Yarrowia lipolytica: one gene and its partner. The protein of the gene in region 2 purifies or fractionates together with the protein of the main gene of each other region. This does not show direct contact. Links are inferred from orthologs where the notes say so. Each region holds a gene or a part of one and is shown on either strand. Other genes may lie near its edges. The genes, in order: YALI1_D23274g and YALI1_A09626g.

Region 1 (5,163 bases), on a different chromosome or scaffold from region 2:
AAGTTTTTCATATAACTCAAGGTTGACAGAGAGCCACCGGCAATGTGTGCTTTTTATATCCCATACATGCCGGAAATGAAGCGATGCATGAGATAGCGACTGGAAACGCCGCCCGGTGCGTCGATAGCTCCGCTAAACGTCGGAGACGGCTCTTGTGCCGAAAAGACACACATTTACACTCTCTTTTGGATCACGGCCAAAACTGACTCCAAAAGAGACGGCTTCTTTTACACCCTGAAGGGCTAAAGAGCGCGTGTTAAACACTCACAGCAGCAACCTTCACCGGCCGCGGTTCGTGTGTCTTACAAAGTCTTCGCTGTCTTACGGGATGGCGTGGTAGATTGCTTTAAGGAGAAATGTGGCGATGCTGACTGAGGACTATTGTCTTAGTTGCAATTGATGCCACATTAAACTACTGTTATCCATCAATATGGTACTTACTCTACAATACATTGACAATTATATGCCTACCCCTCGCTCCCTCATACAACCATATAACAATCCAGACATTGTTTGCTGAAGCACAAGACTCGAGTTCTTCAGTCCCCCTCCTTTTGCTCTTTGTGGGTCCTTGTGCTCACCAGCATCCACCCGCTAAAGAAGTCCGTCCGGAATTCTCACGTCCCTAAACAAATCCACCAGCCGCTGAGGATCAAACGTAGCCTCTCCATAGTCAGAAGAGTTGGGAAGCTGCCTTAGCAAAGCATCAATCTTCTGAGGCAGGTTGAAAGGTTCCATCTTGTCGCCCTGGTCGTTTCCGTGAGAGGTTCGGCGAGCTCTCTTGCTGGGCCGCTCCGAGTCAGAATCTTCGTCGGTTCGCGACTTGGGCTTTTGCAGCATGTCGCATTGTCGAATGACATCAAAGTCCGAGGTAGCGAACCGGTCGGCAATGATGGTGATGGGCGACGTGTCGGGGTTGAGCTGCCGCAGACGGTCCTGCAGCTTGACCACACTGGTGATCTCGCCAAAGTCAGACTCAAACTTGATCATCGACTTGATGAGCGAAGCAGCGTCCGACGGACCTAGAAGAGGAATGGTTTTCTCAAACAGAGCCCGTGCGTTGGTGTCGTCGTGCAGAGAAATGAGAAAGTCGAGATAATGCTGAACGTAGGCTGCATTGGAACCGCAGTACTTGAGACCAAGCTCAAACACGTTGGTGGCAACCGTGGGGTTCTTGTTGTGGTGAAACTCCATCAGCGCAGACGCGACGTAAATGTGGTAGGTGGCAAACCCAGTGTTTCTGGCCTTTTTGAACACCATTCGGCCTGGCTTGATACCCTCAAACCGTTTCACGGCCTTCATGCACACCGAGTACGCAATGGAGATCTGGGTGTTGAGCTTGATGATCTCAGCAGTAGGCTCGGCCTCCGGATCGCCCTGAGCTTCAATTAGAGCCTGTCTCTCCTTGCCCAGAGACTCAATATGCTCATCGTAAATGGTTCGCATCTTTTCAGCATCGGCTTCCCGCTCGTAGTACTCGGCGAGCCGGAAAGCCAGCAGCGATGAGTTGGGGTTGAGAGAGAGGCCATCCTTGAGAAACTGCAGAGCCTCGGTCTTGAGCAGAGGGTCGTCAAAACAGTACTCAGCAGCCAGAAACCAAATCTCGGGCACAAACTGCAAGCTCATAACGGCCTGTTTGAGGCAGTACAGCAGCCGCTTGTTGGTTTCGGCCTTGTTGTCGGTACCCAGAGGGTTGCTCTTCTCCCAGTCGATCCATTTCTTCCAAGCTCGCACCTGGAACTCGTCTCTGGGCCCGGACTTGGGCACACTGCTTCGGTCCAGACCCCGCATCAGGTTCTCCAGCACCGTCTGGCACTGTCGGGCGTTTTGGCAGCTGCCAGACTTTTCATTGATGAACTTTCGAGCTGTGGCCTTGTTGAGCGAGTACTCAAAGTTGGTGTAGGCGGTCCACAGAATCGACAGGTTGTTGAGCGGGATGCCAATCGCCTTTCGGTATATTTTGCGCGTGAGGTCATTCTTCTGCTGCTCCTCCCAGGTAGTTGTAGCCGGCTTGGATTTGATGAAGTCCAGGTACTCAAACCACACATTGCCACTCTCTCGATCAATGCCGACATGGTCAAGGTAAAACTCAAAGGCCTTGATGATGTTTGTTCGGGCTTCAGTGATTTTGTCCGACTCGGAAGACAGCACGTTGACTCGCCGCACATAAGTCAGGTAGATGTTCCACAGCTTGAGGTTGGGCAGGCGGGTCAGACACCGCCCAAACAGCTGCTCCAGGCGCTTGAACTCGCCATTGTCCATTTCCAGCGTGATGTACTCGATCCAAATCTCGGCCGACAGCGGGTACAGAGCCAGAAACCGCTCGTAAATGTCCCGCGACTCGTCCAGCTTCTCCTTGCGCACAATCGTCGAAATCAGATCCAGCCACGCAGGCATGTCTCGGGGGTTGGCGGCGATGCGGTCCTCAAGAATGCCGATTGTGTCTGTGGCCAGTCGTTTTCGCTTGTTGTTATCTGGGCCGCTGTTGTTGTTGTTGCTGGTGGAGCTGGCTCCTCCTCCCACTTGGTTGGGGTCGCTGGGAGGGGGGATGGTAGTGCTTGCAGCCAAAGAACTGATAGCTCCATCAGGGATTCCGGTTCCTCCAACCGACCCTCCTCCAGCCGAGTCCTCCTCCACAGGCTCACTCACCGCTGCAGGCACATAGTCGTCATCTTCCGCGACTTCTTCAGACGAGTTCTCAGGCTTGGGTTCTTCCCTTTTCTCATCATCCCTCTGCTCCCCATCCTTGGGCTCGTCTAACACTCCTCCATCGCTCTTTGTGTCTGGTCCATCCTCCACCTTGTCCTCCTTGTCAATCGATTCAGGTTCGTCGCCCTGGTGCACCAGGGTCCCCGACTCGACGTTTGCGTTTGTATCTTCACCACTTTCTTCATTATGTGCCGGGTCCTTGGCAGCAGCCTCGGCCTCGAGCGCCAGCGGCTCGCCAGTGTTCATATCCGTCTCCATGTCGCCCGGCTTGAACGCCACGGCCGTAGGATCGTAATCGTCAGACATGTTGAGGAGTGACAGGGTCTGAAAAGTGCTGCAAGTAGTGTATGCGGATTTAGGTTGGTGGTTGTGTGTGGCGGCGGTGAAAAATGGGAGGTGGCATTAACGAGCGTTTGCTGGTGGTATAAGGCTGATTAGGGGCCATGGATTCTGTTTTTGGGGCTATTAGAATACAACTGGCACTTTCAGCTAATCAATCGGATAACTATAGACCGAGTTGGATCGAGTCTCTGGAACGTTGCTATCCCTTGTAAACACCTAACAAACCCCCCAAAGTTAGTTGAAACTCCCAAGTAATAGCTGCGACTCCAGAACCCCTTCGATCGGGGACTTTCGGTGAGTGCTGGAAGGTGAAAAAGCATCCCCTCCATTTATGAGAGCTGCCTATGCGTATGAGAAAAAAATGGTTTTAATAAGTGTCATTTCAACCAGTTAAATCGCATATTTGAACAAGTACCATCTCCACTGCCCTCCATGGGGAGCCCGCCCCCCGCATCTCCCCAGTCACGGTCTCCATTGCACTAGAAGCGACCAACCAGTCTTCTAAAACACTACTTTATGCACAAACCCTTGCCACCACGTCCCACTTATCCGTTCTTCCGAAGATATTTATTAATTTCATTATTCTGCCCCACCCCGAATCGAACACACGCATCCACCCACCCACCTCCTACGATATATGAAAAGTAGTACATGCTGTAGTCTTGACGGAGTCGACAGACCAGCGATAGACACAGATACAACCAGCTGACCATCGTCGGAACAGCTCCCTCGTTATTGATTCACCTCTTCATCCAACACAAACGCGCCTACACACTCACAAACCGAGTGTACTGTACTCACAAACTGGGTGATATGCTCATAACCTCTTAGAAAGAACAGTCTACAACCGCATTCTCATTCTCTCCCCGAAAATCATGTTCCGTCTGCACGTCTGGGGCCCCGTGTCCACCTCCCTGACCTTTTCCGCCCCCTGTCTCGCCACCATCTGGTACATGCAGCTATGTGATATCGACTTCACGGTAGTGCAGTCGTCCAATGAAGGTCTGGCGGGCGAGCTGCCGTGTCTGGAGACGTCGGAGAAAAAGATCGGAGGCGCCGAGTCCATCATTCGATACCTCAAGTCGCTGGGACACAACCTCGACGCCGATCTGACCTCGGACGAACAAATCAAAAACACAGCTCTCCTGGCCTACATGAGCAGTCTGCAGACAATCACAGAGTACTGTCTGTTTGTGGACGAAGAGGCGTACCAGAAGGTGACCCGGCCCATGTTCAACGAGTTCATGCCTTTCCTAATGCAATACAATGTCAGTGTACGACTTCGAGAACAGGCCAAGGACCGATGCTGTGCCGCTGGAATCGACACGGCGACGCCCTCGTGGGCTGTTTCGGCAACCAAGATGGCGTCCGAGTCTCTCACCAACCCCAAGCCCAGCATGGGTAAGCTCTACGATCAGTCTGTTGAGCGTGAAAAGCAGAAAGACGCCTCCAAGGCCGTTTCCAAGACGGTTTTCCGACTGCTCAACTCGGCCACAGAAATTTACACCGACATGATGGATACTGCCACAGCAAATGTCGCCAAAGGAAGTCTGTTCAGCACGGTTTCCACGTCAGATGTGTTTCTGTGTGCTCATCTGCAGCTTCAAATGCTGCCTGCGCTGCCTGACTGTGCTGTGGCCGGGTTGCTGAAGAGCAAGTTTCCCGCTCTGTTGCAGTACGAGGACGTGTTCGTTGAGAAGATTGGCAACAAGGACCTCAAGGTGGAGGGACCGCTAGGAAAGGATGCTCCTTTATGGATTTACCATTTGAAGCAGATTTTGGGGTGGTATTAATCAGCATAGTGCATCTACGTGAAGTACGTACTTCTAGATCCACTCAGTACATAATGTATATAATGAAGTTACACGGACAACTTCTGACCCTCTCCGAGCCTCCAGTAGCAGCACAGAAATGCCACTGCAAATGCTCCTCCTCCAGCCGACAGACCTACAAAGGGCCAGATAAGATATGGATCTCTCAGAGCCGGGGTGATACCTGTGGCGATGGCGGTGCTGAAGGCCGACATGAACAGAAGCAGAGACATGACGATTGATCGCATATGAGTCGGAGCTAGAGAGTAGGCCAACTCGTATGAAGTGATGGTGGCAAAGA
Region 2 (4,124 bases):
TTCCGTACAGACCAAGGAAAACAAAACCGATAACAAACAGCAGCAGCCAGTTGGTGAGGAGAGAATAGAGAGAAAGGAGACCGAAAATGATGGCATAGTTGGTGCTGAAGTATCCCAGGTTGAAGTTGATTCGAGCTTGAGCTTCGCCCCAGGTCGGGGGCTTGGAAATTCGTCGGAAATCGAAGAAGTCGGTGGGGGACTTGAGATTGGCAAATCGGTTCTGGAGATTCGCGCCCTCAGTCTGTGTTAGTCCAAAGCTCAGAAAGCGCAGATCCAGAGAATTCCCTTCGCCTCCATATGCTCGCGGGTGATGGTACCTCAGAGTACTAGAGGCACACCAATGTTTTCAATAACGTGAGACACGTAGGGGTCGCTATCATCGCGCTGGCTCAAGGACGTGTTCGATGGTCGCTCACAGTCGCGCACCCTCTAGACTTCTTCACGTCACTGAGGATTCTCAGGTTTAGCGCCATATGCTTAAGTGCGTCACATTCTGCTTACAACAAAGAGTCGAGCACGGGATGACCATCTTCGTCTCACAGTCCACACAGATTTGGGCAAGCCTCATCACGGTGGATTACGGTCGCGTTGTGAGACAAATTTCAACAGCATTGAACGTACATCAATAACGCTTCCGTTTATTCTCAATACCATCTCTTTTTGAGACTTCGCGATAGTCTCGTATTAATTTCACCATGCCCATCTCCTTGATGATACTCACTCTTAGTCGCTCGAGGTTGAACCGTTCAGACAGGCCAGACAGCTGTAGTTAGTAAAAGTTGGGATGCGAAAACGCAGGGGTCTCATACTTACTGAGCTGGATCCCATAGATGTGATAGCGTCCATTGTTGTTGTTGTTGTTTTCGGTGAACACCAAAGAGCCGGTTCAGTATCAACGAATTTGTGGGAACAGTGTTTTTTTATGCATCCCACACGATAGCCTACGTGTCCGTGTTTGGGTTAGGGTTACGTTTCCGGTATGTGAGTCACGTGATGGACAAACACAACTCTTGCAAGTACAGTACTGTACTTGTACGCGTGCACAGGACATACTGTACGATACCTATTTTGTAGTCTCAGGGGCGATGTATGTCAGGCTGTGAGATTCTCTGTAGAAGTGGCAAAATCTGCATTATCTTCATGACCACCGTGCTAAAAGACAGAAAAATTATGCGACCGCTGCTTTAGACCACGTTCCAATTACTGTACTCGTACAAGTAGAAGTACATACATACTGTACAAGTACATACTACATACTATACTCGTACTTATAAGTACAGTGTAGAATGGCTCTTGTCCAAGCCTCTGGGACGTCCCACTTAATGCTGCTGCTATACAGTATGTATTGTACAATACAAGAACAAAATGATCTTCAATAACTTGTACTTTTTTTTGGTTTTTTATACTTGTACTGTGCGATAGTTGTACGATAGCTACAAGTGTACCAAAGTTGCTACTAAATACTGTACTTCGCGTGCATGAATGGACTGCACGTGGTATGGGATGACTAATATGTTAGTGTTCTTAATATCGGTGCCATCTTCATGGGATTGTAAGCTAAGGGCGTGCCCAGAGAGGTCACTGAAGGGGTAATTCGGAATTATTCTACAAATTTCGTTATAATAGCACAATCATTTATCCCATAAATTTGGTTTGGGTACGGGTTACCCTGTCGTAAACGTCGGCATAATAAATAACTGTACGTTCAAGTACTGTGGCACAACGATAAGAAGAACTTCGTATCGAGCGATAGGAGCCATGGTAACAGATTATGTAGTATACCGATGAGGTGCCATATCGTAGCTCTTCAACATCCTAAAGCCCAAAGCTCTTAAAGCCTCACCTAGTACTTGTTGTTTGAACTTCGGTACATGTACTGGCTCGAATGTCAAAAACACTGTGATGCCTTAAAACCTGTATTTACGCCACCTGCAGTGTTACATAATCAACGACACTTTTCATTATACTTTTAGAGAGCTTGAAGAAGTGCACACCACACCAGTCATCCAACACAACTACTAATCAATTTATTACCTCTCCATCGCAGCATGTCATTTGTATACTACAAATTCAAGTCGCAGAAGGAGCCGTCCAAGGTCGTATTTGACGGCACATCCATCTCTGTGTTTGATCTGAAGCGTGAAATTATCACTTCTAACAAGCTGGACAAATCTGCGGATCAGTTTGATCTAGCTATTGTCAATCCCGATACGAAGGATGAATACAGAGACGACAACGAGCTGATTGCCAGATCTTCTTCCGTACTGGCACGACGACTGCCCTCTCGACCAGGCAAGGGCGAGGCCGCTAGGTACGTCAACGGAGCGCCTCCAGTCACACGCTACAGACGAGACGATCAAGAAGTAGTGCAACCAACATCAGCAACACCAGGATCTACTGGCACTGGAGGAGCCGAAGATGATCTCATCAATGCTATGTTTGCTGCTCAGGGAGAACAGTGGAAGGAAACACAGAAGCAAATGGCCTACCAAACCCCTGTCTACAACCGACCCTCTTCTTCTGGAAAGCCTCTTTCTGCCAACTCCAACAACCCCCAGGCAGCAGCTGCTCAGGCCCAGTATGGAGATACTCCGCCGGAAGGATACATGTGCCATAAGTGCGGTAAGAAGGACCATTTCATTTGGAACTGCCCCACCAACAACGATCCCAACTGGGAGGGAATGCGAATGCGGCGAACCACCGGTATTCCCAAGTCATTTCTCAAGACTATTGCTAAGCCCAACCTCAACGAGGACGATCTTGATGGTAAGTCTGCTGTCTTGATCAATGAGGATGGCGAATATGTGGTGCAGGTAGCAGATCAGAAGTCATGGGAAAAGCAAAAGGCTCGTGCTCGACATGCAGTTGAAGATACCAAGGCTAAACGAAAGGCTGATATCGATCCCGAACTGGTATGCCCTCTAAGCAAGAAACTGTTTGACCACCCGGTCACAACTCCTTGCTGCAAGACCACGTACTCAGAAGATGCCATTCAACAGGCACTGTTGGATGGTGACTTTGTTTGCCCCAAGTGTGGTGCTGAGGAAATTCTGTTGGACCAGCTTCACCCCGACAAGGAAATGGAGAAGAGAGTGAAAGAGCATATTAAGAAAGAGCAAAAGAAGGAAGAGCCCGATGCAAAGCGAACCAAAACCGAGGATGGTTCTGCTGTTTCCCAGGCTGGTTCCTCGGCTCCTCCCAATGCACCAACAGGACCCGCAGGAATGCCCCAGATGCCTTTCATCCCTCCACAGATGATGCCATTCTTCATGAAGCAGATGGAGCAGATGCGAAAGATGGGTATGCCTGTGCCACCAATGCCCAATATGCCCATGGGTGGTGCTTCTGGCGGCCAGACGTTTGTGGCTAACCCCAATGGAGTCACCAATGGCCAGTTCATGGACAAGGGTGCGAGACGACAGCAGATGAACCAGAAGAGAAGATACGATGACCGTCGATGATCTTCAAAACAGCATTGTTTTGTATATTGCATGTAATTTATATGGAGTTTTGGGTTATTCTAGTCAAGGAACCCTTACTTGTTGTAGTGTGTATCAATTATGTGTGGATTGCGATGTTGGTGGGCAAGGGAGGTGGCCTGTGGCCGAGATATAAATATAATATAATCGTGTGCGTGTTTGTTGTGCGTATTTCCTAGTGAACACTAGGGAGCCAGTTGGCTTAGTATGTACGTCAAATGGGATGCCTCCTACAGTGATACCCGCGTCGGTGTGTCAGGAGTTCATACGACCCAATGACCTCGTAATGCGGATATTTCGTATACAGTTGACATACGATACGAATACATACCCGTCCTATACACCATCGGTACGTTCTTGTAACTGTACCATACAGTATGTACTCGTATAACTATGAATACAATTGCAGTGCACCGGTACTTCTTAGCTTCTCCGAACTACAAGTCAATCAATTGTCAAAAATCCCTCACTCGGGGTTGTCTATAATCTATAATACTTCTATAACTTGTTTACTGCTTCTTACCGTCGTTGAATTCGATGACGGCGTACTTGCCAGACCAGCACCAAGACAGAGGGTTGGAGTTGCCCTGCTCGACCCACTCCTTCTCGAGCTGCTTATCCTGACCAGGCTTGAGGCCAACAACA

Evidence for each region.
Region 1: the proteins of YALI1_A09626g (region 2) and YALI1_D23274g purify together in Saccharomyces cerevisiae (affinity purification with mass spectrometry; 3 studies listed by BioGRID, with this or other methods). This does not show direct contact. The link is inferred for Yarrowia lipolytica from reciprocal best matches to the Saccharomyces cerevisiae genes MPE1 and RNA14.

What each region holds. Positions count from the first base shown.
Region 1 is NC_090773.1:2,325,281-2,330,443, reverse strand, and holds YALI1_D23274g (uncharacterized protein), read right to left. Parts: upstream 3,016-5,163; coding exon 595-3,015; downstream 1-594. Other genes in the region: YALI1_D23265g (uncharacterized protein), read left to right, coding at 3,927-4,844; YALI1_D23237g (uncharacterized protein), read right to left, coding at 4,913-5,163. UniProt on the Saccharomyces cerevisiae protein: Component of the cleavage factor IA (CFIA) complex, which is involved in the endonucleolytic cleavage during polyadenylation-dependent pre-mRNA 3'-end formation and cooperates with the cleavage factor NAB4/CFIB and the cleavage and polyadenylation factor (CPF) complex.
Region 2 is NC_090770.1:960,539-964,662, reverse strand, and holds YALI1_A09626g (uncharacterized protein), read left to right. Parts: upstream 1-2,048; coding exon 2,049-3,461; downstream 3,462-4,124. Other genes in the region: YALI1_A09638g (uncharacterized protein), read right to left, coding at 1-241, 722-763, 814-846; YALI1_A09593g (uncharacterized protein), read right to left, coding at 3,989-4,124. UniProt on the Saccharomyces cerevisiae protein: Component of the cleavage and polyadenylation factor (CPF) complex, which plays a key role in polyadenylation-dependent pre-mRNA 3'-end formation and cooperates with cleavage factors including the CFIA complex and NAB4/CFIB.